Ovis aries: one gene and its partners. The protein of the gene in region 7 purifies or fractionates together with the protein of the main gene of each other region. This does not show direct contact. Links are inferred from orthologs where the notes say so. Each region holds a gene or a part of one and is shown on either strand. Other genes may lie near its edges. The genes, in order: E2F3, KDM5B, ARID4A, E2F4, KDM5A, TFDP2 and RB1.

The links.
Region 1: the proteins of RB1 (region 7) and E2F3 purify together in Homo sapiens (affinity purification with western blotting; 9 studies listed by BioGRID and IntAct, with this or other methods). This does not show direct contact. The link is inferred for Ovis aries from reciprocal best matches to the Homo sapiens genes RB1 and E2F3.
Region 2: the proteins of RB1 (region 7) and KDM5B purify together in Homo sapiens (affinity purification with western blotting; 3 studies listed by BioGRID). This does not show direct contact. The link is inferred for Ovis aries from reciprocal best matches to the Homo sapiens genes RB1 and KDM5B.
Region 3: the proteins of RB1 (region 7) and ARID4A purify together in Homo sapiens (affinity purification with western blotting; 3 studies listed by BioGRID). This does not show direct contact. The link is inferred for Ovis aries from reciprocal best matches to the Homo sapiens genes RB1 and ARID4A.
Region 4: the proteins of RB1 (region 7) and E2F4 purify together in Homo sapiens (affinity purification with western blotting; 10 studies listed by BioGRID and IntAct, with this or other methods). This does not show direct contact. The link is inferred for Ovis aries from reciprocal best matches to the Homo sapiens genes RB1 and E2F4.
Region 5: the proteins of RB1 (region 7) and KDM5A purify together in Homo sapiens (affinity purification with western blotting; 4 studies listed by BioGRID and IntAct, with this or other methods). This does not show direct contact. The link is inferred for Ovis aries from reciprocal best matches to the Homo sapiens genes RB1 and KDM5A.
Region 6: the proteins of RB1 (region 7) and TFDP2 purify together in Homo sapiens (affinity purification with mass spectrometry; 4 studies listed by BioGRID and IntAct, counting the BioPlex papers as one, with this or other methods). This does not show direct contact. The link is inferred for Ovis aries from reciprocal best matches to the Homo sapiens genes RB1 and TFDP2.

What each region holds. Positions count from the first base shown.
Region 1 is NC_056073.1:36,829,729-36,834,026, reverse strand, and holds the start of E2F3 (transcription factor E2F3), read left to right. Parts: upstream 1-1,498; 5' UTR 1,499-1,574; coding exon 1,575-1,955; intron 1,956-2,844; exon of another isoform or gene 2,845-3,175; coding exon of another isoform or gene 3,176-3,193; intron 3,194-4,298. Other genes in the region: uncharacterized protein LOC132658271, read right to left, coding at 808-1,311.
Region 2 is NC_056065.1:79,352,134-79,356,170, forward strand, and holds the start of KDM5B (lysine-specific demethylase 5B), read left to right. Parts: upstream 1-1,237; 5' UTR 1,238-1,357; coding exon 1,358-1,546; intron 1,547-2,376; exon of another isoform or gene 2,377-4,037. UniProt on the Homo sapiens protein: Histone demethylase that demethylates 'Lys-4' of histone H3, thereby playing a central role in histone code. Does not demethylate histone H3 'Lys-9' or H3 'Lys-27'. Demethylates trimethylated, dimethylated and monomethylated H3 'Lys-4'.
Region 3 is NC_056060.1:68,644,036-68,648,143, reverse strand, and holds the start of ARID4A (AT-rich interactive domain-containing protein 4A), read right to left. Parts: upstream 2,801-4,108; 5' UTR 2,651-2,800; intron 2,254-2,650; exon of another isoform or gene 1,663-2,253; intron 1,556-1,662; 5' UTR 1,505-1,555; coding exon 1,499-1,504; intron 1-1,498.
Region 4 is NC_056067.1:34,396,008-34,400,041, forward strand, and holds the start of E2F4 (transcription factor E2F4), read left to right. Parts: upstream 1-1,234; 5' UTR 1,235-1,307; coding exon 1,308-1,442; intron 1,443-1,861; coding exon 1,862-1,971; intron 1,972-2,112; coding exon 2,113-2,274; intron 2,275-2,599; coding exon 2,600-2,643; intron 2,644-3,370; coding exon 3,371-3,432; intron 3,433-3,649; coding exon 3,650-3,947; intron 3,948-4,034. UniProt on the Homo sapiens protein: Transcription activator that binds DNA cooperatively with DP proteins through the E2 recognition site, 5'-TTTC[CG]CGC-3' found in the promoter region of a number of genes whose products are involved in cell cycle regulation or in DNA replication.
Region 5 is NC_056056.1:213,125,843-213,130,070, reverse strand, and holds the start of KDM5A (lysine-specific demethylase 5A), read left to right. Parts: upstream 1-1,428; 5' UTR 1,429-1,815; coding exon 1,816-1,980; intron 1,981-4,228. UniProt on the Homo sapiens protein: Histone demethylase that specifically demethylates 'Lys-4' of histone H3, thereby playing a central role in histone code. Does not demethylate histone H3 'Lys-9', H3 'Lys-27', H3 'Lys-36', H3 'Lys-79' or H4 'Lys-20'.
Region 6 is NC_056054.1:247,417,130-247,421,397, reverse strand, and holds the start of TFDP2 (transcription factor Dp-2), read right to left. Parts: upstream 2,801-4,268; 5' UTR 2,451-2,800; intron 1-2,450. UniProt on the Homo sapiens protein: Can stimulate E2F-dependent transcription.
Region 7 is NC_056063.1:18,457,889-18,462,149, reverse strand, and holds the start of RB1 (retinoblastoma-associated protein), read right to left. Parts: upstream 2,801-4,261; 5' UTR 2,599-2,800; coding exon 2,471-2,598; intron 1-2,470. UniProt on the Homo sapiens protein: Tumor suppressor that is a key regulator of the G1/S transition of the cell cycle. The hypophosphorylated form binds transcription regulators of the E2F family, preventing transcription of E2F-responsive genes.

The DNA of each region.
Region 1 (4,298 bases), on a different chromosome or scaffold from region 7:
GCTTAGTCTCAAAGGCGCAATCTTCAATTTTAAAATCCATGAATACTTGCAGCAGCACAAAAGTCAGTTTGACAATAATTTAATATTTTTCTGGTGGCAATGTCTAGTTTACTTTAAAAAATTCTTTGAAAATATTTTGGAATAAGTTTAGGTCGTCCTGTCAGAGAACTTGCTAGGAAACCAAAATTGTAAAGTGCTGGTGCCAGGCGTGCAGCGTTTGTTTGGAGCAAGACGTCATCGTGGGAAGCATGTACTTCTTCGGATTACCGTTTGGCGGATTAGAAACCCGCCGATCAGTCCTAGGTTAGCCCAGATTAACTGCCCTGGGTGCTTCTGGGCCAGAGGGTGAGGAGGCGTTGGAGGTGTCTGCTGAACTCAAAATTCGTTATAAGATTTCACTTGGCAAAACATTCGGAGTTAATTTTTACTTAAATCCCATCAGGCTAATAATGAAACTACCAGAAATGATCTGGAATGGTTACTAAATGGTGCCCGCAACCACGTCAGTCGAACCTTCTGCCCCCACGATTCTGTCTGCCCACATGCTTCTGTCTGTCAGCCTCGGCCTCGGGATCAGCTCTTGCCGCATTGGTTGGATTTCAGGAAGGGGGAAACCCACGATTTAAAGGGCTCAGTTTCCACCTGCCAGGCGTCATTTGCAAGGTCCAACTTGCCTTTGGCGCACACTTGGGAGAATCTCTCGCTGTCGTTCACCTATTACGGTTACTGGTCAAACGAAAGCGAGTCCCCGAAAAGTGTCCCCTTGGTCACCTTGACAATTTCCAAAAGCGAAACTTGCGCTCTAGGTTAAATCCACACTGAGTCTGCGGGGCGCGGAGTCCCTGCCCAGGTCAGCAGCGCCCGCCCGGCTGGAGGGCGGGGACGGGGGAGGAGTCTGTACAAGGCGTGGTCTTCCGTGGGAGAGAAGGCAGACTTTACCCCCCACCGCCTAAAACCCACACTCCGCCCCAGCCAATCAAGGAAGCCTATGCAAATAAGAACCCTGTCGCCCCGACAACCATGATGCGCGGCAGCCAATTGAAACCGGCAAGTCGCGGCCCTGCTCCACGATTGGGACGGAAGGAATGAGACAGAGGCCCAATGGGCTGTGGGAACGGTCCTCGGCGGGTTGAGGGGCGGGGACATGCAAATATGGTTTGAAAAGCCGGCGGGAAATCTGAGTTTCGCGGGAGGACCTTGGCGCGTAAACCGTATCCCTTCATTCATTGTCAGCAGCAGCTTCCTGGAGCCATTTTTCAGCTGCCGGCCGCAGCACTCGGGCAGCCGCCGCCGCCTCGCAATCCATTGCATCGGCCGCCCCCGACGCCTCCATCCCCCCTCGGGGCCCGATATCCGTGCGGCCGGGACCCTCCTCTCTCCAGGGCCCCGATTATTTTTGGCCCCCGGGGCCCGTGCGGTGCGGAAAAATAAAAAGAAAAGAGAGAGAAGGGGCTCGGAAGCGCCGGGCGGGGAGGAGAGAAGGAGAGACTTGGAAACTCCGACTGCAAATAATAAAAGAAATTGCAAACAATACGTTAATATTACCATAGCAATAAAAAGAGCAGGAGCGAGAGATGAGAAAGGGGATCCAGCCCGCCCTGGAGCAGTACCTGGTGACCGCCGGGGGTGGGGAGGGGGCGGCTGTCGTCGCCGCGGCCGCTGCAGCCTCCATGGACAAAAGGGCACTGCTAGCCAGCCCCGGCTTCCCCGCCGCCGCCGCCGCCCCGAGCGCGTACATCCAGATCCTCACCACGAACACTTCCACCACCTCCTGTTCCTCCTCCCTCCAAAGCGGCGCCGTCGCCGCTGGCCCCCTCCTCCCCAGTGCCCCCGGCGTGGAGCAGACCGCTGGCAGCCTCATCTACACCACGCCGCACGGACCCTCCGGCAGAGCCGGGCTGCTGCAGCAGCCACCAGCGCTGGGACGCGGCGGCAGCGGCGGCGGCGGCCCTCCGGTAAATGCCCTCCCGTCCCCACCGTCCTCAGCCCGGGCGGGAGGTGGGCTCGCATTGCGCGGGGTGGTGGGCGCGCTGCGGGCCGCCCTTGGTGGGGAGTGCGGGGCCGAGCGTCTCGGGCCTCGGCGGCTGCCCCTCCAACGAGGGTTTATTGTTAAAGACTCGTGTGTTGACCCCCACCAGCACCCGGAGGGTCGGGGGGCTCCGCCGCGAGCGCGGGGCGGCGGGGATCGCCTTGGCGCGAACCACATCAAAAACTCCGAAACTTTTCGCGGCCCCCCCTCTTCTTTTCCTGCACTTTTCCCTACCCCCACTCTCCCCTCCCCTCCAACTCGAAGCTTCCTCTTTCTCGGGCGTAGGAAGGGGTCACGCCCCGGATGGAGAAGGGGGTGGAGGAGGGAGTAGGGAACTGGGGAGTGGGTGACTCCGGGGGGTGGAAACCGAGGTGGGGGCCCTGGGGGTGATGGCCCCCCCTTCCGGCCTCCGAGGCCCGTTGGCAGCCGGGGGTCCCTAAGGCGTGCTCGGAGTGCAGGGGCTCTGCCAGGTTGCGCTTCGACACATTTGGGGATCTGTTAACTCCCGGCAACAAAGGGGCTGGGGGGAGTGGAGGCGGGCGGTGGAGCAGGGAGCCGGGTGCGGGCGCGGGCGTGGGCTGTCTAGGGGGTGAGGGGCTCGCGGGCTGGCGGCCCCGGCCTGGGCGCATCCCGGCGGTGGCCGCGGCGGCGCCCGCGTGGCCCGAGCGCCCGGGCCTTCCTCGCCGGGCCCCGGGCCTGCCCTTGACCCGCCTCTCCCCTTGCCCCTTCCTTCCCCCCGCCCTGTCCCCCTCTCCGCCCCCCGGCGACGGAGGGCGGGGGCAGCCGTGTTCCCGTCCCGCCGCCTGGGTCTGTCCCTCTCCCCGGGACCCGCCGGTGACGTTTCGCACACGTGCGCGGAGGACGCGCCTGTGACTGGGGAGGAGGCGGCGGCGGCGGCGGGAGGGGGCGCTGGAGGGGGAGAGGGGGCACCCACTTCCTCCTGCTCGCCGGCTCCCTGGCCTGGGACCGTCCCGGCGCCCTCGCACCCGCCCCCGGCGCGGCCACCCTCCCTCTCCTCTCCCCGGCACCCCCCCCCCCTCCACGGGCGCCCGCCCTCGCCCGGCGCCGCCGGTCCGCTCGGCCCTCCGGGCCCCCTCTCCAGCCGGCACCCCCCACCTCCCCCCCGGAGCCAGGCTGGTTTCGGAAATGCCCTTACAGCAGCAGGTTAGTGACCGGGACGGCTCGGGGGGCCGCCGCCGCCGCGGGGGCACAGGATTCTGTTGGGGGGCTGGAGCCGTGAGGGTAGGCGGTTGAGCGGGGTTTTGGAGTGGGAACGGGGGGTTGGGTGCTCGAGGGAAATGAGTAAGCAAGAAAAATGTAACTAAGTAAATGCCCCGGCCTCCGGTTCTAGGAACCCAGGGGGCAGGAGTGTCCGCCCCAGGGGGTGGGTATGGCGTTTACGTGGATTTTTTCCTAGGGGGGCCGAGGGATGGGCGATCGGAGGGGGGCTTCTCGCCGATGGCCGAGTTGAGCTCTGTTTTCTGTCTTCCTTCCCTTGTGCTGGAGGGGGAGGGGGGCGGGTCAGAGGGTAGGGTGTCTGTAGGATTCCCAGGCCACCCGCCACCCCCTCCCTTTGTCCCTGTAATTTATAAAGCGCCTTTGAGAGATGATTTAGGTCAGTATGCGGCTTCTTTTTTTGTTGATACTAGAAAGAAGTGTGGCCGGGAGGTCTTCCCCCTTTCTCCTTTTCTCTCCTGCATTCCCTTCCTCCATGCCTCCAGTCTTCTCCCTCGTGGTGAGGCTTGGCCCCCACGAGGCTAGAAACGAACCAGACCCAGTTTAGATAAATGGTGGGTTGGTCGTACCCGTCGTTGACCTCACCTTGTCTCGGCTCCGAATGGGCTGAAATTTGGGAAGACTCAAGATTCTGCAGAGATCTTTAAGAGCGGCAGCACCCAGGCAGCACTTCGGGGGCAAGAGATGGGTCTGGGAAGAATGAAATATATTATTTCCTGACTTTTCTCAATTTCTCCTCGAGTTGGGTCTTTAGTGCTTTCAGCCCCGGAGATACTTGCTAGGGATGTGTGATACCTTCTCAGTCAAAGGAGCTCTCATCGCGTTTAGTGACTAGGGTCTGCCAGCAGGGGGGAAAAGAGTATAGGACCTGCTCACACATACAGTATCCACTGTGCCGGATTCTCAGTCACAGAAATATGCCACTCTTTTACTAACATTAAACACTATTACTGACTTTACCTAAACACGCTTGGATGTATTTCAAACATATATGCCCCCTACTCAGTTCTGCCCCTATATCATAAACCTAATC
Region 2 (4,037 bases), on a different chromosome or scaffold from region 7:
ACCCCCAGCTAGATTCTGTGAACACATGAGCACATTCTAACCTGCAATGTCACATCCTCTGTACACTGACGACTTAATAGGGTGCCAGCTGCCCTTGGTTTCAGCCTTCGTCGCCCTGGCTTAGCAAGATCCTAAAGCCCTAGACAGCAAGGGAGGGATCTGCCTTCTCCAAGGACCTTTGGGTTTATTTTAGAGCTTTCTGAAGAGGAGGCTTCTCCCCTCCGCGGCCTTTTGGAGGAAGGATCCTCAAGGATAAGACTTTCCTTCAGGTGAATATAACATCAGGGTTAGGACTCGGTTGACACCTACCTACTAAGGAGGCCCTGGCGAACAGTCCTTCGTGGGTTTGGCTCCTTTCTCGAGGAAAGAGCTCTTTTTAGGGTTGAAGTTCTACTTTTTGAATTCCCTCTCTTCCCTTTTCTGGGGCAGGACATTATCCTCCCCACACCAACCCCAGATGTGTCAAAAGTGTTATCATCTCTTAGTGAACTTCTTTGTGCCTTTATTGTCTGCTCTGCAAAATGGGGACAATAGCAGGGACTCCCGCGCGGGATGAAGCGCAGATGCAAGCAGCTAACATACCATTGTCCACACCCGCCGTCTTGTTGCTCAAGGAACACTCTTCCCTGCAACACCCTACCTTCCGGTTAGGTGGTGTCTCCACCACTTGTTGACCTATATGCAACTTGGGCAAATCAACTTGCGCCTCGCTGGGTTTATGTGTAAATGGAAACGAGTACCTGCCTCGTAGGGTTGTTGTGTATATTAAAAATTCATCATGAGAGCACGTGCAAAGGCCTAGTACAGAGTGCTAGTTTCTCAGCCTCCTGTTGTTTTCTCACCTCTGCGCTGTTGTCACGTTCGAGCTGACCCCTCCACCTGGAAAAGCCGCCTCCGGCCCCGACACCCCACGGCCCCAGGGGTCTGGCCAAATGTCTGCGGACTTCCACCAGGGCGCCTCCCACGCGGCGGGGCGGGACAGAGGGTCCACCCGTGAGCCCAGCCTCTCCCCCAGACCCGTAACTTCCTGAGGGAGGGAGGGGACTCTGGCACGCAGTCAACGGTCAGTGGAGGCCAGCTGGGCTGAACCGTGAGGCCGCGATCCGTGCCCGGGGGCGGGCGCTCGGCGCGGGCTGGGTGGGGATGGGGGTGGGGTGGGACTCCTTTTCCTCGCCGTGGCGGCGGAGGCGCACGGCGTGGCTGGGGCGGCGCGGCGTCGTCGGTCGGTGTCGGAGTCAGAGTCGGAGTCGGAGTCTGAGCAGCCGGATCTGAGTCTGAGGAGGAGGAGGAGGAGGAAGGCCGAGGCGTCGGAGGAGGCCGAGGCCGGCCACCCAGCCGCGTCCGCGGCGCCGCGAGGATGGAGGCCCCCGGCCCGCGCCCCGTGCCGGCCCTCGGCGGCCCCGGCCCACTGGGGGAGTTCCTGCCGCCGCCCGAGTGCCCGGTCTTCGAGCCCAGCTGGGAGGAGTTCGCCGATCCCTTCGCCTTCATCCACAAGATACGGCCCATAGCCGAGCAGACCGGGATCTGCAAGGTGCGGCCGCCGCCGGTGAGTCTCGAGCGGGGCGCGCGGCCGGCGGGGGTCCGGGCGGCCGGGCCTCGGCGCGGGGCGCGGGCCGCGGGGGCGGCGGACGGAGCGCGGCCGGGCCGGGGTGCGGATCCGGACCGAGAGGCGGGGGCGCCGGCACCGGGGTCGCGGCCGTGCGCCGACCCGCGCGGGCGGAGGGCGGCCGGGCGGCCGGGCGGCGGGCGGGCGCGGAGGCCCCCGGGCGCGGGGGCCGCGGGTGCGGGGCGCCGGGGGTGCGGGGTGCGCGCCCCGCGAGTTGTCGCGAGGAGGAAAGTTTTCAATATGGCGGCGGAGCCCCTGGTCCTTTGTGTGGAGGCGGCGGCGGTCCGGGCGGCCTCACCTGGCGCCCCACCCTCCGGCCCCGGCCCCCCGCCCCGCTCCGGACCCCCGGCAGGTCCTCGGGGCCGGGGGCGAGCCGGGGCGGCGGCGCCGTGCGCGGGCCCCGCGGGCCGGGCCGAGGGGGCGTGAGCGTGGGCCTCGGGGGGCGGCCGCCCCGAAGCTCTGCGCGACCCCCCGGCCCGCCGGGCCCCCGGCCCGGGAGCCGTCCGCGGCGCGCGGTGTCGCCCCGGAGGCCGAGGCCGGCCCGCGCGCAGCCCCCGGCCGGGGTGGGCGTGCGGGGGGTGTTCCCGAGACCGGCCCCAACGGCCGCAACGGCCGCCGCCCCGCCCCGCCCCGCCCCCGCCGCGGCCCCGCGGCGCCCACCTTGGCGGCCGTTGGCCCGAGCCCAACTGCCTCGGGAGGGTCTGCGGGGCCGGGCCGCCGCTCCGCCCCCGCCCCCGGGTGCAGCCCCCCGCCCCCGCCCCGCGCTCGCCCTTTGTGGTGACGTTGGAGCTGCGGGGCTCGCGCGGAGCCGCGGCGCCCGGCCGCCCCCGCCGCCCCCGGCGCCCCCGGGGCGCAGCGCGGACTGGGACCCTGGAGTGTGTCTCGGAGTAGTCGGAAACGGAGGTGAAATGCCCACCTCCGAAAATAGCTGGTCCGCTGGTGCGGGGGCGATGCTTGGAAATCGGTGCCTCTCGCTGCAGGAGTGGACACGGTCGCTCGCCGTTGCCGAGGGGAAGTGCGCGTCGGCTGGGGCCGGAGGCCTGCAGAAGTTGTGCGGGATCGGGGCCCGGGCTTGGTTCGGGAAGAGGAGGGCGGGCGCGGACAGGTGGCCGTGGAGCTTGGTGTCGTGCGTTAGGGACGCAGACTGTGGAGAGTGCTTTGCCTCAGTGGGGTCTCCTCTGGAACTAGGCAACCTGAGGAAGTTCTCGGCAGCCCAAATGCGTGCAGTCGCCTCCTGGGAGTGAGGTGTCCTCCATGTTGGTATTGTGGTGCAAACCCTTTATCCACTCTCTCATCCCGTGCCTTTTGGGAGGCTCTTTTCCTAAAAAGGTAGTGTTGCTCTGCCTAGGTTTGGCTACTCATTTCCTCATCTTGGCCAGAATACCAGTTGTAAGCCCTGCAAAACGTGTGATCTGTCTGTCTGTCCCCATTCTCAGTGTCTGACAGACGTGATGGCCACCATTTTGTGTTGAGAGAGGTGCATCCCGCAGCCCGAGACGGGGGTGAGGGAGGCGCAGATAAGCGCTCCACAAACATGACCAGTGCTGTGCTTTGGAGACCTCCTTTGTGTGGAGGAGGCTTGCTTCCTCCTTTGTTTAAGAAACTCCTGTGCCAACTGGAAAGAGTTTGGAAGTATTCACTGTGGATACAACCACAAAAAGAGAAACCTTTCCAGAAGCTGTAGCTCTTGAAGGAGGGTCTTGTTGGAACAAAGGCTTCCTAAGAGAAGAGGATGTAAGCAATGGTTGTTTTAGAAACCGTTTTCTGTGAAAAAGTGGTTTCATATAGTTGAAATAAACCAACAACAAACCAAGAGATAGGAAATGTTTTCCACGGTGATAGCTATATATGCTATAATGCTTGTGTGTCTAGATGATTGTGGCCACTGAGTTTCTGGAATATAAGTGACTGTTAAAATGAGGATTGGGTTTATTGGTATTTTACTTTTCAAAGTAAGGGGAAGAATTACAAAGTATTTCTATTTCTTTTTGTCCTTAACCTTTGCATCTTTAATTAATGGTACTTAAGGTAGCTTCAGTTTATAGCTGCTCCTCAGTGATGGTCCTAAACTACTTGGCTGTTGAAAACTTGAGGTTCACAGAAACTTGTTTGAAATATAGTAAGATAAATGTGATAAAAGGTAATAAATCAAAAAGACATTACTCAAATCCTGAGTTATGAGTTTAAAGATGGAAGTCAACCGTTTTTCAAATTACATCAAGTGTCTGGCTTTTTGGATTTCTTTCTTCAGTTTACAAGTAATCTGCCTTTTGGTTTTATCCTTATAATGGAAATTTTCATTTCCTCCTTGATGTACTTAGATTTCTTTTTAAGGACAAATTGTATTTTCCATGTCATTTTGTGGTATTTGGAGGTAATTAATTTTAGGGTGGTAATTATTAGGCAAAATCTAATAGGCTGGTCAGTGAAT
Region 3 (4,108 bases), on a different chromosome or scaffold from region 7:
TGATTCAACAATTTTACAATATATTTAAGAAATGAAAAAATTTTAAAATTCAAAAAAGTCTATTTATATTGTCTCATAGAATTTTAAGTTATTCACTTATGGCCTCCTGAAAATTTTATTTTCAAATTAAAAGAAATATGCTATTAAAATTAATACTAACTAGTACATAATTAAATGTTTAATATAGTTACATAAAGGCAACATTTTGGATACACTGTAACAGTATAGATAATTAATGAAGCCAATATTTTTGACAAAGAGAGCATTATTTAGAAAAACCATTGGCTAAGTGCTGCATTTTAGAGCTTCAAGTCTAAATTATCTGATTAATGCAGAGATGTGAATTGATGGTAGTAGTACCAAGTTTATTACACTAATCTTGGTATATATTTTTTTAAGTTTCAGAAAGAAATACCTGCTTTCAGCAAATGGTCATGATCAGAATGATACACTGAAAGATGTGAAATATTATTTCTCCATTCATTTTAATCTTGATAGTAACGGAATAATTGCTATCTCAGTCTGTCACTTTACCAACTTTTTTCAAAAGTTAAGTATATGTATACAAATTCAATTCAACATTGCTAAGTGCAACGGTGACAGTGTACAGTTTAGAGAAATACTTTCAAGCAGAAAATGATTTTTCATTCTATTTTCCCAACTAACATTAAAGAAGGTACACTGTCACTTCAAAACTTCAAGGAGATAGGAAAGCGAGAGGAAGTTTGGGAAAATACTGTATTTCAGAGCTCAATACACTGAAACAGTAAATGAGTAAGAAATCAAATTTAAAGTTAGTGCATTTATGAATAATGCAAATTGATGAGAAATACTTTTTGCAAATATTCAACACCTCAGAACTACAGGTTGATATACCTTCCTTTCCCTTTAAACATCACAGGATGTCTGCAATATCAGCTGTCTTCAGAAGAATTTTTTTTAGGTTGGGTATATGTTTAAAATATTTACTGTAAGGACTGAACTGAAATTAAGTGCTATTAGTTATGATAATAATATACAAAATTTAGTTTTCCTTCACCTTCAAGTATATTCCAGCCACAAAATTTCACTTTATCCCCAGAAGAAATGATATGTCCCTAACACAATACACACATTCCTTCTTTAGAAAATCTCACTGGCACTGGGGAAGAAAAAAAATTCAAAAAATCCCCCAAAGAACCAAAGCAGGACAAAAGCTTTACTTCTGCAAAGGGTGCTGCCAACACAGGAAGTGTTTAAAAATACTAGCCCACTGGACAACAATGGGAAGGCTGCAGCAGCCTGTCCAAAGTGCTAACTGCTTCGGAGAGGGGCCAAACTGACCGCATTTAGACACAATGATCATCTCTTACCCATTCAACACGTCCTCATTTTCAGAAAGCTCTGCTTAGTAGAGGAATCAATTTTGAGTAGCCAAAAAAATGACATTCCACAGCACCAGCCTCACGACAGACAGTGTTCAGGGCACGAGGTTCCGAGCAGCGTCGACTCCACTTACCTTCATTTTCACTGGCGATCTGTGGGGTTCCAGCTCAACGAGCTATCTTCTCCGTCGCTATAACCAAGGGGAGGAGAAAGACAGGCACAGAATCAGTCAACGGAGGGGAGCGACCCCGGTAAAGAAAGTAAACAAACGCCAGCGGGGAGGGGCAGAACCCTTACCAGGGAAGGGGTAAGATCCCCTCCGAGGGCAGCCAGGACGCAGGAGCCTAGAGAGCGGCGAGAACCCCACCGGCGCCAAAGGGCAGCGGGTTCCACCGCGGAGTTCGCCAGCGGCCCACCGCGCCCCCGCCTCGCTAGCCACTTTGACCCGGAATGCTCAACTCAGTGCCCCCGGACGGGTTGCTCCGGAGAAGGGCAGAGCGCCGTTTGGGCTTCTCCGGGCTCCTCGCAGGCACGGCCGCCCAGCCTTCTCTCGGCCGCCCCCCGGATACCCCGACTTCGGCCCGCGCCCCGCCTCCGCCGCTCGGCCCCCTCGGCCCGCCCCGGGCCCGCGGTGGCGGCAGCGGAGTGTCACGGCGCCATTGCTCTCCTTCCTCCGCTCTGCACCATGTCAGGAAGGAGAAGCGCTTCTTCACCCAATGGGGCAGGGGCCGTGGCCTTCAGCCTGGAGGCGCGCGAGGGAGGGCAGACCCGCGAGGGAGAGCGAGCTGGGAGGAGGGGGGGGCGGAGAGGAGGAGGGGAGGTGGCCCGGACAGGGTGTGGGAGGGGAGGGGAGCTGCACAGCGGCAGCCGCCGCCTCCTCCCCGCGCCCGCCTCAACTTTTTGTACAGCCCAGAGCGGTACCAGCCACCAGCCCCTCGGGTCCTGCCACGGACTCCACCCGGGAGGACGCACCGCGGAGTTGGGGGCCGGCTTCCCTAATCAGTCCGCTCCTCGCCTCGCGGAAGCAAACTTAGCGGCGCGACCAGCCCCACAGCCATTTTCCCGGGGAACCTGGGGAAGCGGCCGAGGAGGTTGCTGCGGAGGCTGTTCTTGCAGTTGCTGCCGCTGCTCCACGACTAGCCCCTTCACCGGAGCTCACCGCCCCGCTTGCCAAGCATCCCCCTCCCCACCTCCTAAGCTTCCAACTGCACCGGGACCCCGGGCAGCAGCGCCAGCTGCTAGTGCCGCTTCGTCCACTCAGTACCCTCGCTTCCCTTCTTCTCACCTACCAACTGTGGGTGAAGTGCTCGCTGTCAGCTCCCGAGTCCTCCGCCCCGCTGACCCCCGTGGGCCCCCGTCCGGGAAGCACCACTCCCGGCCGCGGCGGCAGTTCCTGCGCCGGGTTCCCCACTCGCCCGATTTACTGCCACAATCCACCAAATAACAAGCTGTTGAGCAGACTCGCTTCTACACGAACTCCTATTGGCTGCTCATGACGCCGAAGAGTTTCGGATTGGAGTTCGCTACCTGCCGTCCTCATTGGATGTAGCTCTGAAACTTCACCGATTGGTGCGAAAAACAGCAGGTAGGACATTTTCCACTTATGATTGGCTGTCTCCGAAGACTAACGTTACTGGAGAATCAGGTATTGAGTAAGCAAGTCCTGAAAAATGATTGGTAAATACGACTACGGATGTGCTCGACTGAGCACTGATTGGTCAATTGAGGGGTCAGGAAGAGCAGTGCGGCACGAGGATTGGCGGTGGAGTGTCCCATGGAAACCGAACCCGGAGCTGCGGCCAGGACTTACACGGGGGCGGGGCAGGGTCTTTCCAAGGCGCCTGCGCTGAACCAGCTTCTCGGCGCCATTTTGTCTGGGCAGAGGTGGCCGCAGCTGTATCGCATTTTATGTTTCTGGTGAGAGGAGAGCGGAATCTATATCCCGTGAATTCATTTAACTGCGGCAACCATCCGCCGGTTCCTCCAGGACAGCACCTAGTGAAGGTCGGAAGAGTCCGGATCTCTCAGAAAGGTCAGTTGAAAGCGGTGGTTGTCCGGTAGACTGGGGGATGGCGCAGCTCTAGCGGCACCGGCACCGGAAGTGAGGGGGCCGCGCGGCGGCCATAGCAGAGATCTCCCTGCGCCGGGGTGGGGAGCTGGTCGCGGGCGGGGGCGGGGGACGGGCTAAGAGGGGGCGAGGCTTCGTCTCCCGCGGCCTCAGAGAAAGGGGCGGAGGGGACGTGCACGTCTCCTTCTCCGGGCTGACCGTTTGGGCTCCTCTCGGGAGGGTGAGGGATTTTCGGGATTCTGCTCATCTCAGAGCAGTGCGTCCTCCCTTTGGAAGTGGTTTCGGCAGCTTGTCATGTTCTGCGACCAAAGCCACCGACTGAAGAAGGTTCCTCACCAGTTAAGATGGAGAGGGGAGGGTTCTTGGTCCCATCCTCCGTGGGAAGGTGTTTCCGCGTGCTCCTCACGCGGTTAAGCAATGAGGAGACAGAAGGAAACGCTGAGTTTGGGTGCTGAGAAATTCGAATTCCCTTGTTAGCACGACTCTGCTGCTCTAACCATAGACAAATGGGAGTGCCAGAGTGCACGGGGCTCACGCTGCTTTTCGAAAGGAAAGAGCAGTGGATTTGCGGGGACTGAAAACATTAAATGAAAGAACCTCCTCGATAGGACTTTGTTAGAGCAGCTATTGATTTTGCTCCATGAGCAAGATCTTGTACTCTGTTTCAGAAAACTC
Region 4 (4,034 bases), on a different chromosome or scaffold from region 7:
AGATGGCAGAGAGGGGTGGAAGAGCTATGAAAGCTTGTTTGTCTTGGAGATAAAAGGAGCCATGAAAGGGACTGGTGCTGCTGCTTAGCTGCTTCAGTCGTGTCTCTGTGCCACTCTATGGACTGGAGCCCATCAGGCTCCTCTCTCCATGGGGTTTTCTAGGCAAGAATACTGGAGTGAGTTGCCATGCCCTCCTCCAGTGGAACTGACTACTAGGTAGTAATAATGCTGTGGACACTGGCTACCACCCAAATCCACCCTTCAGGACAAAGACACTCATTCCCCTAGCTGCCCGAAATGTAGGCTAATGAGGTCTCAGATCTGAGTCTCTTGGTCAGTGTTAGGGTATAAGGGCCAGGTAGGCCTTGGAAGGGGTACCCCAGTTTCAGTGCTCCTAGAAGGACAGAGCCCTCCATTTTAACTTCCTCACAGTTTAATTCTCCTCTCTGCCCTGTTTGGCCTGTCTTATTTCCTTACAAGTGTGGCTTCTCAGTAAACTTCCTGCTGGCACATCTCTTTCTCAAAGACTGTTTTCCAAAGAACTTGACCTAAAATAAACTATAATAAATGATAGTGTTAAAAATAACAAAATGATACTAGCAAACACATAATCCTTCCACATGCCAGAAACTGCTCTAAGGGCTTTACATATATTTACACATGGGTAAATATGTTTGCATCGGTTGAAAAGTGGTTTTAATCCCATGGCCTCTGAGCACTGTAGTGTGGAGACAAGAGAAAGGCGAGGCTGGGATCAGGGGAAGAAAGTGGGGATGCAGACAGGTGAATAAGCTAGATGTAGTTAGTGCTTGCTGTTTGGCAGGAACTGAAGGACAGGAATAAGGAGGGTAGGTGATCCCAAGAGAGTGGGGCAGTCTTTTAGGAGCAGGTTTGGGAAAACACATTGGGTTCATCAGGCAGCAGGGTCTCCTCTCCTGAGATGAGGGTTGGGGCACAGTTAGTCGAGTTGGGTCAGGTTTGCCAGCCAGGAAGGTTCCAGTGATTCCTCCTTACTGCTCCTGAGGCTACCCAACGACTTCCTCCACATGCTTCCTCGACCACATCTGTCTTCCGGGATCCTGGGGTTATTTTCGTCCTCTTCGGCGGTTGGACATTTGATGATGGTCCCTCAAGTTTTTCGGCCATGTCTGCTGAGAGGAATTGTGACGGACTCCCTGGAAGGGAACGAAGCGGAAGCGGAAGTAGCGAGGCTGGCGCCGGCGGCCGAGCAGCCAGGAACGGAAGCGGAAGTGGCGGCGGCGCCGGCCTGGCCTGGCCTGGCTGAGGGGAGGCGGCGGGCGGGCGCGATGGCGGAGGCCGGGCCACAGGCGCCGCCGCCCCCAGGCACCCCAAGCCGGCACGAGAAGAGCTTGGGACTTCTCACTACCAAGTTCGTGTCGCTTCTGCAGGAAGCCAAGGACGGTGTGCTTGACCTCAAGCTGGTGCGGCCCGGGCTAAGGGACGACAGGGGGATGGTGGACCAGGCCTGAGCCGGTAGAGGGAACCCCCGGGGCGGCCCAGCTGAGCCCTCAGAGCAGGCCGCCATACATGTGCTTCTCACAAGCGGGAGGCCGGGAGCTGTTTCATTCATTCGGCTAAGGCTGTTCATCGGATGTCAGCTTTGTGGCAAGCTTGAGGCTGCGGGTGGTAGTCCTCGTGGCCCTTTCCAGCAGGTGTGGGGAAAAGAGCATCGGAACATCAGCTCAGGCTTCGTCTGGCCTCTTCCCGCCCCACAGTCCTGAGCTGCTGTAGTGCCTGGGGAGGAGGGCTAGAATTCAGGCCACCCCCTTTCCAGACTACTCCAGACCGAGTCCCCCGTGAGAGTGGGACTGAGCATTTTCCATTCTCTTCTCCTTGCCAGGCAGCTGACACCCTAGCTGTGCGCCAGAAGCGGCGGATATATGACATTACTAACGTGCTGGAAGGTATCGGGTTGATTGAGAAAAAATCCAAGAATAGCATCCAGTGGAAGTGAGTGGGGGCACCGGGGTCGGCAATGGTATCTCCTACCCAGAAGTGTCAGGAGTGTGGGGTGGAGGGTGGCAGAGAGAACAGGGGCTGTAGGACCCAGAGTGCCAGGCAGTCCCTCTTAGCTCTCCTTCCTGGATTCAGGGGTGTGGGTCCTGGCTGCAATACCCGGGAGATTGCGGACAAGCTGATTGAGCTCAAGGCAGAGATCGAGGAGCTGCAGCAGCGGGAGCAAGAACTAGACCAGCACAAGGTGTGGGTGCAGCAGAGCATCCGGAACGTCACAGAGGACGTGCAGAACAGCTGATATCCTCTTATCGGCGGTCCTGGCTCCCGGGGAGTGGGCGATGGGCCCTCTAGTCCAGCTGGGTGTGCTCTGTGTCCCCTAGTCTCTGTCCCACTTGGGAGGATGGTCCTCCAGCTCCTGGCCAGGTTTCAGCCTCCGGTTCCCTCCTCGGAGCCTCTCCACCCACAGTCTTGGCCTGTGATCCCTCCCCCATGTAGACCCCAGGCCTCAGGGCTTCTCTTTGTGAGCATGTATGTCAGACCTCTGCTGCAAAGCTGGGTCTTCGCTGTGTCAGTTATCTGTCACCATAGGCAGGGCATCAGCCATTCTCCTTAACCCCCACACCTTGGCCTACGTGACTCATGAGGACATCTGCAGATGCTTTGCTGGTGAGCAGAGCCTGGGTAGGGGGAAATGGGGGTGGGACTGGGCTGAGCCACAGCCCTGAGCAGTGGACTCGGTGCTTGAGAGATTTCCGTCTCTTAAGAGGGTTCCTGGGGCCTGCTCAAAGAAGAACCAGACAGGGTAAGGCCTAGATTTGAGGATCTCTGGGACCCTATGGAGGCTCACCATGCTGAGAGGGTACAGGAAGCCTGGACTGGGTCTCTGGGTCAGCCACCACCTGCATCGCCCCCTAGGTTTGGCTTCTCAGGTGTGACAGAAGCATACGAGGGGAGAAAGTGTGTGTGCCTGTTTGTATATGCTTGTGTGCAGGGGGCAGTGGTACCCACTTCCAACCTGTAGTTTAGTTGCACTGTAGGTACAGGAACTCTTCCTCGTCCATCTTGCATCTCCCAGGCTGGTTCTGGGGAAGAGCTGTTGGCCTTGGCCAGAACATCTTTGCCTAGGGAGCAGCCCCATCAATTGAATGAGGTGCCCATGGCCACTAATCTCTTGCTCCACATATCTGAACCCAGATTTTCTGGTTACTGACCTTTGGGTTCTTAGGAGAGAAAAAGCTTTAGTTTTCTCCCCCAGCCTCAATAGGGAGTGAGTGAAGCCTACTGTCCGCCCCCTCCGGGACTATGACGTCCTTCCTTGTTCTGAGGGATAGGCACCCCATTCCCAGTTCAAATTGAGCCCATGGGCCTTGATCCATCGTCTTTGTCATCCTAGGAGACACTCTCCTTGCCATCCGGGCCCCGTCGGGCACCAGCCTGGAGGTGCCCATCCCAGAGGTGGGTGCTCAGCCCAGCCGGGTGGGGTGGATTGAGGGCGGGTGCTGGCTGTGGAGCCCGATAAGTCCCGGGTGGGGCAGGTAAGGGGAGGCCTAGGGTTTGAAGTTATCTAGGGGAACGGGCAGCCCAGGGTGGGAGAGGATACTGGCCCTGGCCCAGGGTCAGGCAGGAGCCAAATCTGCTTCCAATTCCACCTGTCCTCCACCCCCACATTCAGGGCCTCAATGGGCAGAAGAAGTACCAGATTCACCTGAAGAGTGTAAGTGGCCCCATTGAGGTGCTTCTGGTGAACAAGGAGGCATGGAGCTCACCACCTGTGGCGGTTCCTGTGCCCCCACCCGAAGACCTGCTCCAGAGCCCGCCTGCTGTCTCTACCCCTCCGCTTCTGCCCAAGCCTGCCCTGGCCCAGCCCCAGGATGCCTCACGCCCGAGCAGTCCCCAGGCAACCACCCCCAACCCTGTCCCCAGCAGCACCGAGGCCCAGGGGGTGGCTGGTCCAGCAGCTGAGATTACAGGTGAGACACAAGGGGTATGTGGTAATGAGGGACTTCGGGGACCCAAGAAGCAATGTTTCTGTGTGACGAGATGAAATACTGAGAGTT
Region 5 (4,228 bases), on a different chromosome or scaffold from region 7:
TGGAAGTAACTCCTACCCTTTGATATTGAGGTAACAAGTTTTCATTATATATAACACAGCTTCTATTCAGATGTCATCAGTCTTGAGCTCTTCTCTGGTCACCCTATCCCCATTTAACACCCTTTCACACTCTCCCTTCACTACTTTTTAAGGCTTATGGCCACTGAGAATAGTATATTTATTTGCTAGTACTCATGATTTTGTTTCCCTCCGTCAGAATGTAAGTGCTCTGTGAGGGGACATACTTTGCTTTGTTGTTCATTGTCCATAGATTCAGCATTTAGAAGATCGCCCCAAGCAGATTCTCAGTAACTTGCTGAACGCAAGAACCCACGTGTAACATTTCTCTCCCCCGCCCCTGCCCCTGTGCGTGTCCCCTAGTTAAACAGTGCTCTGCTTCTTGCATTCTAGCTCTATCAATGCGTTACCACCAATTCACATGCCCCAGGGTCCTTCTCAATCCACCTCTCTCTCGCAAACTCCTCAACATCAGATTATGCGTAGTGAGGGAGGAGGAGTTAAGGATTATTTCTAGATTTCTGGCTCAGGTCAAATGAGTAGATGAATGAAGTCATCCATGGAAACTGGAAATACTGAAAAAAAAAAAAAAACAAAACAACCCAGTGGGGAACTATGAGTTCATGGTTTACCAGAGTGGAGTTGTCTGGTAGGTAGATAGATATATTGATTTGTGGCCTAGGAGAGGAATCCAGGCTGGAAGTACAGATTTGAGAGTCATAGCTGCTAATTTAGTTCGTGGGGGAAGTTGAGATTGCCCACGAGGAGCATGAGAACAAGCCCTGGGGGAAGTAAGTCTTCCTTCCAATAGATACAAGAACTGCCTTTTCACGGTTTCTTCTTTAGTCCTTCCTGCGTTACTCTCCACAACTTGCAGGAAGTGGAGATGGACTCTGGCAAAGAATGTTTGACAAGCAGGGCCGGAACAGCTGGTGTAGTTGTTACAGAAAACAGAGACAGGCTTACGGCGCATGGCTGCCAGAGAGCGACTGCTGTTGAGAAGCTGTGGGGGTTGTCAATGATTCGAAAAGTCAACAGCCGTTGCTTCTCTGTGGACGAAAATCAATTCCTGGATGGTGGCGAGGGCCGGCCGGTGAGAGATATGCTGGGATGGCTGAACCTGAAACTGTTGCCATGGAGATGGGGCGGATTAAAAGTGACCGAGTGGGATGAGAAAGGGACAGTAACAATGAAAGGACTAAAAAAACCAGACGCTGTTATCTAGAAACAGGTGGACACGGAAGTTGAAACAGGCAGCCGGGCGAAGACAGGCAGCTTGTGTTCCAGTCCGTACGTACACAAAGAAGGGCCCAGCTCAGCTTTCCGGAAGCAGAACCTCTGTCCCCGGCGCATTACGCGTCCTCCGCGCCGGAAGAGCGCCCCGTGAGGCCGGCCGCTCCCCTACCGCCCAGTAGGAGGGGCCGCAGGGCTGTGCCGCCGGGAGTCGTGGACAGCGCGGAACTTCGACACACAGGGAACTCAGGAGCGAGCCGAGCTACCGGGAGAGGGAAGGGGAAGGAAGGTCGCCCAGGAGAGCGTCGTTGCGGAGGAATCCTGTTTTCTGGCGGCGGAGGGATTTGGCCGCACGCTGACTTCCGGCGAGCGTCGACCGGAGAGGGGGGAGAAAATCCTGAAGGAAACAATAACAAACGCCAGAGGAAGCGGGGTCGGTCTGCGAGTGTGGAGCGGGTCTCTTCCTGAGAAGATGAGCTTCGGCCCCTGTCAGGGGACGTGAGCGCGACCGGTGGGGCCGCAGCCCAGCTCTTCTCCGCCCGCCCCGCGGACCCCGGTACCGCCATGGCGGGCGTGGGGCCGGGGGGCTACGCGGCGGAGTTCGTGCCGCCCCCAGAGTGCCCGGTGTTTGAGCCCAGCTGGGAGGAGTTCACAGATCCCCTCAGCTTCATCGGCCGCATCCGGCCCATGGCGGAGAAAACCGGCATCTGCAAAATCCGACCTCCCAAGGTACCGGAGTCCCGACCGCCTCAGCGCGGCCTTCCGGTCCGCTGTGCTTTCACGTTCGCTCGCCCTGGTCTGTCGACACCTGGACGCTGAGTTTATCTGTTTCCGTTTTGGTTTCTTTGGGGTTTTAATGTCGGCTGGTCCGAAGGCGAGAGAGGGATGTCCCCGGGGCCCCTCCGCCCAGAACTTGGGAACTGATACTCTCCTTCCCGTCTTGGGTTGTGGGCAAGGATAACAAAGGCTTTCGGCCTTTCGTTGGCCTGTAAGGTGATGGAAGCGTTGTGACGCGACAGCCCGACCCGCGGGTGTGTGTGTGTGTGTGTGTGTAGTGTACACTCGTTTCTGTACGACAGGAAAAGCTATGGTTCCGACGGCTGCTGCTTTCTCCTAGTCCTGTTGACGCTTAATTGATTAAGTGTTCGCGGGCCTCATCTCAGGCTAAGGTTTCTTTCCTCAGTGGTAATCTGAGTTCTTAGGCCCTTGGGATGGTATCACCAAACAAGAACCCCAGACTGATTACAGCTGGAATGAGAAGTCTTCCCGGGGAAAGAGAAGGCGCAGCGTTTATTGTAAAAATTCGGAGGTTTAGAAAGAATTGATCCATAACGGAGGTGGAAGAAAACGTTGAAATCTTAAAAGATATAAAGAGTCGCAACTATTGGCAGATAGCTGGGTTTGCCCATAGGTTGGTTACGATCCTCAGTCTTTCCGGTGAGGAAAGCTGATACTGTGCCTTGTTTTGTGGGGCTCAGTGCCCCAAGAGGTTGAGGATTTGGTCAAGGTCGGAAGGTTTCTTTTCCCTCTGCCCGTTAGGTCCAGTGCTTTCCAACGGGTGTTTCTAATCCACTTGCCCCAGGGGCACCCGAATGTTCGTTAAAATGCAGATCTCTAGGCCCCATTCCCAGTCTAGAACCAGTTTCTGGATATGGAAGTTCTAGAATTTGCATTTCTAGCAGGTACTCTCAGTGCTTGTGAATGTCTGTGAGCCATGCCCAAGTGCTTCTTAAAGTGATACCTTGCTTTACGTTTTGTCTCCTAGTAATTAAAATTTTGTCCTTTTACATGTTGTATTTTTAAAAGCTTCGGCTTTTACTACCACAGAAGCATGCAGCGCAGTGAATAAAAAGAGGTTACCTGAGAGGGAGGAGAAGGAGCAGCTACCATAGCACTTACAGATTTTTTTAATAGCCTTTGAAGCCCTCCTAAGTAAATAAGGTCTCATTTTACAGATGAGGCGAGTCTGGATAAGTTAAATAACTTATCAGATGTGTGATCTTGGGCAAAGTAAATTTTTCTATCTGGATCACTCAGTTTGATTCTAAAACCCAGACAAGCTACTTCTCTTGTGCTCAGTCAGTTTGGTTAAGATTATTGACCATCACTCAAGCAAAAGATTAACAAGTAACTGCTGTGATGAATGATGGTATGTGTATTGCCATCCTCCCAGAACTTCACTTTTATGAAAAATTTATTTTCACTTAATCCTTTGTTTTTCATGATTACCTCAATGACAAAACCTTAAGCACTGAAGCTTTTCCTGAACCATATTTACTCTGTTGTCTTCATGAATTAGAAATTCTATTCAAGGTTCCTTTTGGTTTAAAAAAAATTCACTACTTTTTGTTACTTAAAAAAAATTGAAATAGTATATCTTTGTGTCACATTATTATTATTGAAAATAAATGTTTAAAAGCAGAATTTAATTTCAGTATTGGTGGATTTCTTTAGTTTCCAAGATAAGATAATTTTTTCTTATTTATATAAGATAATTTTTTAAAAACTTCTTTTCACATTTTAAAGCAGATTTAGTGTTATTTAGACCAAGTCAAACTATGGTCTCTAGAACTCTACTTGAAATGTGCTATCTCATTTTAGTTATACCACGTCTCCAATCTGGAAATTGTCCTTGTTTTGTGGGTTTGCTTACTTTTTTTTAAATTTTCATTTTTTAAAAAAAATTTGGTTGCCCAGAAGCTGGGCTTTGAAGAGAACATTTACGTAACGTAGACTTTTAAAGTGCTGTGTCACATTCCACATGAATGAAAAAACACATTGTCCAATTACATAAGTACTTTTAAAACGTTATTTTTTGGTCTTCAATTTTACTCTTTTCATTTCTTTCAAATTCTGTTTTCTTTTTAATTTGATAAACTTGGATTATTCGATGCTGTATGGAGATGAGCTGATTGCATTCCAGTTGAGTAATTGGGGAAAGCATAATTTTGCAGTATAAATAATGGAAGTGGGAGAT
Region 6 (4,268 bases), on a different chromosome or scaffold from region 7:
CAATAAAAGAAATCATTTCTTAGAAGTTAAAGTTGTCCAAATATCTTTACCTCAGAACCTATGAACCTTCTCTCCAGAAAATATCCAAATACATATAATTTTGTATAAAGTTTTCAAGGGCTTACAAATCTACTTTTAAATCTATTTATGTCCTATCCCTAGAATCATATACCCCAGATTAAAATGGAAAGAATTCAAGTATAAGAGGTAAATATATTTAATCTAGAAAATTCATCACAACTTCAAATTCTATGATTCAAAACTCTGAACTCTATGCTTTCTAGTTTCTTCTAAGATACATTGCAATAAGAGCTTAAAATATGGTGCTGAGTTCAGAAAAAAAGTGAAATCGTTTGCCAAGAGACAATGTAAACTGACTACAAGATCTATCAGTAATAATGGCTTATTACTTAATCTTTAAAAGAAACATACCTAAGTTTAAAGATAAAAAAATAAGATACTAAGGTACTACTCATATCTAATATTTAATGCCCAAATTACAAAGTGCCTCCTTCTACTTTCAAGCCTTAATCTTTTCATCTTTCAGTGCCAGTTAACTGTTAAGGTTGACAAACTAAGAAAACAAAGGACTAGAAGTTAGAATACCAGGTTCTAACCTATGCCATGAACTTAATTTGGGCTTAATCTGTTTTTTACCATACTCTACTCTTTGAATCCTTCAGGTTGTGTTTCAGTGAATAATTTTCATCCACAAACACTTTCCACATTAAGGATAAATCGATCTGTACATCCAATTTCAAGCTGCATTGAGAGGACATAGCTCAGACAGTTAAGAATTTTGGCTGCAAGGAAAAAAACTTGAAAGTGCCAGCTGGCCGTCACCATTGCCAAGAGTTGGTGGGAAAGGTACATGATCACAAAATGGTAACATTAAGTATGACACACTTGAAAATTCTGTTTTCTCTCCTAATTAACCAACCACACATAATGAGAACTCAAAAACAAGAGTTTAGTAAGTCTTGGGCCTTTATTAAATATAAGCACCATACTGCTGAAACTGCAACTGTACTGCCAGGACAGGGCTACAGACACCATGTCTGCCATGAGACTAGGCTCTAGTTCCAGGCACAAGATGTTCTAATAAATAACATGCAGCAAGCGCCAGCGCACAAGTGTGATAGAATCTGGGGTCTAGACATTTGATTTTTCTCCCAGTGCTACTTAAGAATGGCCGCGGCCATTAAAGATTTATTACAGTAACAGGATAGCGATAAAACTTTAGCTAAATGGCAGGCCAACCAATGAAATGGAAAAGCAACATGCAATAACAGATCAACTAAATTAGTTTCTATTTAATTTTGTACAGTAGGCTCATGATTACACTGCATAAAGAACAGATGAATAACCTAAACTGTATCTATTAGGTAAAGATGATTTCAAGCCATTATGAGAAAAGTGGCCCAGAAAAAAAAATCAGGCTATAGAACTCAAGTGGAAAAAACACACAAAGATTTGGGAGAGAAAGGGGAAGGAAGGGAATGAGCTACTGACTTACTAAAAAGAGAGCAAAGAAGTGGGACAGGGAGTCTGAGCCCTCTGAGACAAAATGAGGAAGAAAAAGAATTCAAAGGCTCAAAGGGAGCTTTAGCAGTGAATACGGAAAGGGATGAAACTGTCTCAACAGGAAAAAACAAAAACAATAGGGGGAACTTTTCTAAACCATCATTCAGGGTGGTCAATTCAATGCCTAACTCATGCAGGGCAGGGCACTTCGTAGGACGCGAACTTCGTTCCAAATAGTTCCACCAATTACTCCATTTCCTCCTGGCACCACCCCCAATAGAGGGTTACTATTACAGATGAAGAAACTGAACCACACAACGCCCGGGAACACAAGCTGGTACCAGAGACTGGGAGTTCATCTTAGCTGCACTTCTCCCTGCGAGATCCTACAAAAATCTTACACTTTTCTATGGAAAGGAACCTTAAATCTATGGAATTTCTCAGAGTCTGGGCCCAAAAGTGATCCCCTACTTTAGAGGAAAGTTCCCCTGTGGAGGTTGCAAGGCTCTTCCAAGCGCACGAGGCTTTGGAACTCTGAAATACACCTGGTAGAGACAGATGGAGGCATGTGGGTCATGAAAGGAGAAGTCGGAAAAGTCAGACTTAGAAGCCATTCTTCTGCCCTAAAGATACCGAAAAAGTAGAAAGCAGCCCTTCCTCTCTTCCAGCAGGCGTGACTCAAGGACAGTGCCTCCCCGCAATTTGCTGTGTGTTGGGGGTGGGGGGTAGTCTCGGGTTTCCCACTCCCTTCCCCAGGCACTCAAGGGTTACTCGGCCGGGCCTGGAAGATTGCGTGGGAATAAACAGATGGGACCCAGAGTGACCAGGGGGCCCGGAGGGGCAGGGAGGGAAACCTGCCCAAGAACACGCCGGGCCGGGTACAGAGGCCCGCCGCACGGAGCCCGCGCCCGCGCCCTGGACCTTACCACCGCTTGGCTGCAGGGGACAAGGCGGCCGCGCAGGACTGTTCTTCGAGCTTGGAGCGCGTCTTCAGGCCCCTCTGCTACAGTGGCGCCCGCGCTTGGCGGCGCCCGGGTCCCAGGCGGACTCACACTCGGGGAAGGGTGGGCGATCCGCGGCCTGCCTAGTAGAGGCCCTGGAGTTCTAAGCCCCGGGACGCCGACCGCGCGCGCGCGCCTTCGAGCCTGCCCAAGGAGGAAGGGTTAGGGCGCGCCTCGAGAACCGAGCAGCGGCAGCGGCTGCAGCTGAAATCTTCGGCGGCTCCGTCCGCCCTCGCCCGGCCTAGCCGCGGCCCCGCTTCCCCCGCGCAAGCTTTGGCGGCGGAGCAGCACGGTGAGCGCCGATTGGCCCTCTGGGTGAATGACGTACGGCGCCTCTCCTCACGGATTGGCCAGGCTGGCGGTGCGTGCACGGAGTAAACAAACCCCGCCTCCAGGCTTCCCAAAGAGAGGAGGGGGCCCCCGAGGTGGAGGAGCGGGGTCTCAAGCACTCTGCGGGGTACCCGGATAATCCACTGGAGGTTCTCAGTGGATCGCCTACAACGGTCCTGCCGCGTGCTTCCCAGCCGCCTCCGGAGCAGGCTACAGGCCTGAGGCCTAAAATTATAGCCACACCCTCTCCCCCTTCCCCCGGCCTGGGTGGGAATCTTGACTTTTCCATCCGCCCCCATCCCCCCGGCCCCTTGCAAGAAAACCCCGATCTTTCTTAGAAAAAGGAAAACGGGCGTCCCTAGTTCCCAGGCACATCTCGGTTCCCAGTCATTTGATCAGTCACCTCTGGGGGAGCAGCCTAGAGGGGCAAGGGGACGAGTGATGAGGCCACGTGTGGGGCCAAGTTTGCAGTACCCTGTAAATTATTCAGACAGTGGGTTAAAGACTGCTAGGGTGTGAGATTTTCAACAACCCGGCAAGTAAGATCCAAACCTGACCAGGTCATCATGTCACATGGACGCTGAAAAGAAAATTGCAGCTCCCACCCTCAAATACCTGTCTATTTAGTTCAATGTTAATAATACATTCTGTGCCTATCTGAAAAATCATGTGTGAGTTTACATTTTAGTGGGCTTCCCCTGTGGCTCGGTTAGTAAAGAATCCGCCTCCACCGCGGGAGACCTGGGTTCAATCCCTGGGTTGGGAAGATCCTCTGGCGAAGGGAAAGGCTACCCACTCCAGTATTCTAGCCTGGAGAACTCCACGGACTGTGTAACCGATGGGGTGGCAAAGAGGCAGACGAGACTGAGCGACTTTCATTTCACTTCACTTACATTTTAGTGGGGTGGTAAAGATAATAGGCAAAAGAAATAAGCAAAATATAAGCTATGTTACATGTTGCGACACGCTGTGGAGAACAAATCTAGTAGACCAGGAATGGCTTTAAGGGATGGCCTGTCTTAGAGTGCTCAGTCAAGGTAGCAGGAAAGTGCCATTTAAATAAATACCTAAAGGAAGTGGGGGAGGTGAGAATGCACCTTTGGACCTTTCTCTGGGGTGGAGCGGTGGTGAGATAATTTCTGCATAATTGTACATAGATAAAGTCCTAGGCGGTCAAGAAAGCCCAATGAAGTCTCCTTGAACTGATTCTAAAATGCAAAAGCCCCAAAGGAGTCATTACCTTGCATTTTTCAGTAATGGATCAATAGATGTAGTTTCCACAGAAATTTTGTTGAGATTTCAACTTAAATACTTTTCAAACACTCTAGGGACAAAGATACAAAAATAAGCAAAACAGATGAAACCTCCATCCTCAAAGAGCTCAGTCTAGCAGGAGAGCTGGATTGTAAACCA
Region 7 (4,261 bases):
TAAGTACAAGAGCTAAAACTGGGAAAGTTGGGTTGGTTAACAGCAAGAGGAAAGCAATAGATAATATTACAAAACCAATTCAATATCATTAACTTTTGCTAAAATGCAGTCTACCCTTCACAGTGTTTTATTTAATCTACTTACTAGTAGTTCTTAGATGATGATTAAATTCAAGCTTTCTTTCTGATTTTCCTTAACCAAGACAGGCAGACAAAAAACTCTTCTTGGCTAATTCTTTTTCAATCAGTTAATGTCTACTTGACCTCTAATAATAATAGTACAAGGAATCGCTAATAATTTTTTAGTATTTATTATGATCCCAGACAAAGTACCTTAGATGAAGGTAGACTGAATCCCCACATCAGCCTATTAGGTAAGTCCTCTTACCCTGTTTTACAGATAAATACCAAATCAGAGAAGTTAAAGCACTCACTTGAAATCACAAACAGTATGTCAGAAACCCTGATAGAAACCCAATAATCTAACTCTATAATCCTTGCCCTTGAGCACTATTCCAGACTGCCAACCCTTCTCTGAAACATAATTAACTTTTGGTTATCTCAAGAATGAAGATGGTGTGCTGTTTCCCTTAAGTAAACTCTCAACTCTCAAAGTAGGCATGGGCTCCATCACTGGAAATGCAATTGGACTGGGCCCTGAACCCACCCCAGGTAAAGTTCTCAGCTTCAGACTGCCAGGCAGTGGTTCTATCTTTGTTAAGTAGTTAACCAGTAGTTTGATAGCCCATAAGGACACATTTTATGGGTAAGGATAGATCAAGAACAGACTTTATCTTGCATGGTTCTGACTTAAAGAATTTGTGATAGTTTCATCATTTAAAGTATATAAAATGAAATGCTGGAAAATAGAAGGAAAAAAGACTTTCTTTTCCCAGGTGCTGGCCAGAACTTCAGTATTTCTGGTTACTCCACAATATTCAAGAATGCTTCCGAGCTCTGTGGATAACACAGGGTTCTTTGCAGTAGACTTCACTGCTCTTACCAAAAGGAAACTGGAAAATACTGGACATATCAGAGTTTAATCAGAAACTAATGTCTTCTCCTAGAACATCCCTGGGCTTTCTTTTTTTTTCCCACTAGTGAGAATGATTTTTAATTGATAAGACAGTCATATATGAATTTCTAATAGCCTTTCACAAGCCATTTCCAAAAGCTTTTCCCAATCTTTAACAATTTGTCCCGAATTCTCTTAGCGCAGGGGAAGGTGAGAGAAATAGGGCCTGCTGATGGGCTAGGACTGTGGGAGGGAGACAGAAAGGAGTCCCATTTCCCTGTAATTGATGTGCAGTCTCAAAGCAGGGCCAACTCTGACAATAATAATGGATAATTATACTCGTTCAATTTTTGGTTCTAACCATAAAGCATCACAATCAAGAAAAATAAGATGTTGCAATACATTATCTTCCTGTCAAAGTTCCACTGCATTATCGTAGACTTGCTTAAAATTTAGAATCCACTTACGAGAAGAAAAATAATTCCACGTGAGCACAAAAACACTCGTTTTGTACTCCAACAAACGAAACAAAACAAAACAAAACAAAAAAAAACAAGGACACCAGGATCCTTGCTGGCTCAAAGCCGAAAGGCAAAATGGAAGAAATAACGAGGCACGCTGAAGCCAACGAAAATACGCAAGAAGAGTTCTAGAAAACAAGAGAAAAGTTCAGGAACTTTTAAGCTCTTGGGCTAAACGTCTCACAATATTTTTGCCCAGGTACGAGTTCTTTCTAAAGAGTTACGTTCCACCAGTCACTACCTATGGCCATGAATCCCCAAGACCGAAAAGCCCCTTCTAAGAGAACGCCACAAGGCGCCTCAGCCGAGCTTCCTGGGGGGTAACCGACACCCAGGACCCTGCCCTTCACGTCCGCGGGCATCTCTGCCGCTGCACCCAAGGCTTTTCTGACTGTCTCTCCCAGGACTGGGCTTCAGATACAGCTGCGCGCCCGGGGGCGGTGGGGGGAGGGGGGCACTTCCAACTGTTGCATCGCTAGAGACCAAAAGAGAAAGTCAAAAGACCACTGGAGGACTACAAATCTCAACGGGGAAAAAAACCTATCCAGCAAACACCAGTTAGTTCTTTTCTTTTTTTCCTCTTTTGCGTGTGATGGGGTCTCGAAACACCCGCCGGATGCGCAGGGCCGTCTCGCGGAGCAAAGGCGGCACCTGTCACTTCGCTCAGCGACCCGAGCCCCACCCGCCCGACACCTGTCAAGCTGGAGCCGAGACCCCCCTCCCGGCCGCCCTTCCCAGGCGGCGCCCGCACCCAGACCCCTGTCAGCTCCCTCCCGGCGCTCCGCCGCGAGGGGTGGTAGAGGGGGGACCGTCCTCCCGCCGGGACCGGCGCCCCGCGGGGACGCGCCCCCGCCTAGACGCCGCGGCTGCCGCCGACGCAGCCTCGGGGCGCCCTCCCCGCTCGCCGCCCGCCGCCGGTGGCTCGGCCCGCTCACCTGGCCAGAGGCAGGTCCTCGGAGCCGCTGTCCTGCTCGGGGTCCTCCTCAGGGGGCGGCGGCGGCGGCGGGGGCTCCGCGGCGGCGGCGGCGGCGGCGGCTGCTCTCCGGGGGGTTTTGGGCGGCATGACGCGCTCGCAGGGCAGGCGCCGGCGGGTGCTGGAGTGGGGCCGGAGAAGGGAGAGGACGCGCGCACCTCGGGCACGCCCCGTCCTCGGCCGACTCCCGTTACAAAAATAATTTGAACGTTCCCCTGAGAAAAAAACCGGGCCGGCCCTCCCCCGCCCGGCAACCGAGCGCCGCGTCCAACCGCGGGAAAACGTCACTTCCGCCCGCGGCGTCACGTCCGCGAGGCTCGCGGGCCCGCCGGCGTCGGGAGGGCACCGGGGTGCTGGGCGAGGCGAGGCGAGGCGCGCGCCGGGCGGGCGGGCAGCCCCGGGCCTGCAACCCAGGCGCCCGCCCGGAGGCAGCGGCCGCCGCCGCCGCCTCAGCCTGCCTCGCCTCGAAACTCGCCCCTGCGGGCGTGGGTGGCCGGGTAAGGGCGCTACCCGGCCCGGTGGGTGCGCGCGGGCTCCCTCGCTATAGCCGGGTGGGTCCGGGGCTGCGGCCGAGGCCCCCGCCGGGGAGTATCGGGCGAGCGCACCCGGGGCGGGCACGCCCCTCTCCTCCGTGGGCGGCGCCCTCCCGCTCGCCCGCGCTCCTCCCGCCCAATCCGTTAAGCGAAGTCAGCCAAAACAAAAACAAACTGCCTCTGGGACACCTATGAGGAGCTGGGTTTTGCCCACTACCAGCGGAGACCAAGTACGGGACGACGAAACTGGCCTTTTGAGAGTTCTTTGAGGGAAGAGGGGTGGGGGCTGCGGGCAAAGAACTGATGACAAGGTGCTGCGCGGTTTTAATAGTAGCGTAAAACCAGGAAGCACCATCGAAACGCCTTAAGGACATCTTCAGAGGAGCAGGGGCATTTGAGTAGAAGTTTGCCAGACGGACTTCACATCTAAGGAGGACTTACTATGTGCACAGGGGATTGTTCTGGCCATTTTATCTCATTATCTTACCGAATCCTCAGAAACAGCCCTTTAAAATGAGTTGTAGTCGTATTACACTTTGGATAGGGAAGACAGGCTCAGAGGAGTTAATTCATTTGCCCAGTACTCCAGTATTCTGGCCTGGAGAATTCCATGGACTGACAGGCTATAGTCCATGGGGTCGCAAAGAATCAGATACGACTGAGTTACTTACACACACACACACACACACACAAACACACACAGCCGATGGGTGGTAGAGGTTTTGAACTGAGATATATGTGACTCTACTTATCCATTAGTGAAGTGAAGTCGCTCAGTCGTGTCCGACTCTTTGCAACCCCATGGACTGTAGCCTACCAGGCTCCTCTGTCCATGGGATTTTCCAGGCAATAGTACTGGAGTGGATTGCCATTTCCTTTTCCAGAGGATCTTCCCAACCCAGGGATCGAACCCAGGGCTCCCGCGTTGTAGACAGACGCTTTACCGTCTGAGCCAATACGTTGTGTTAAAGAAAACACCAAGAAGAGAGAAATAGCATGTGCAAGGCACAAAGACACCAGAAAAGAGTTTGCAGGAATTACTATGGCCAAACATTGACTTAGAAACTGTGTCTCCTGTCTCTTGGTATTTACTTATGCTAATAGATTGCCTAGTTTGAGTATCTGCTTTTGTATCACTGGCAGATGCTGTGGGTTGCCCGCTAGGAGCTTCCCAACTGAGGTGCTATGAATAAAATACAGCTGTGTTCTGACGTGAATTC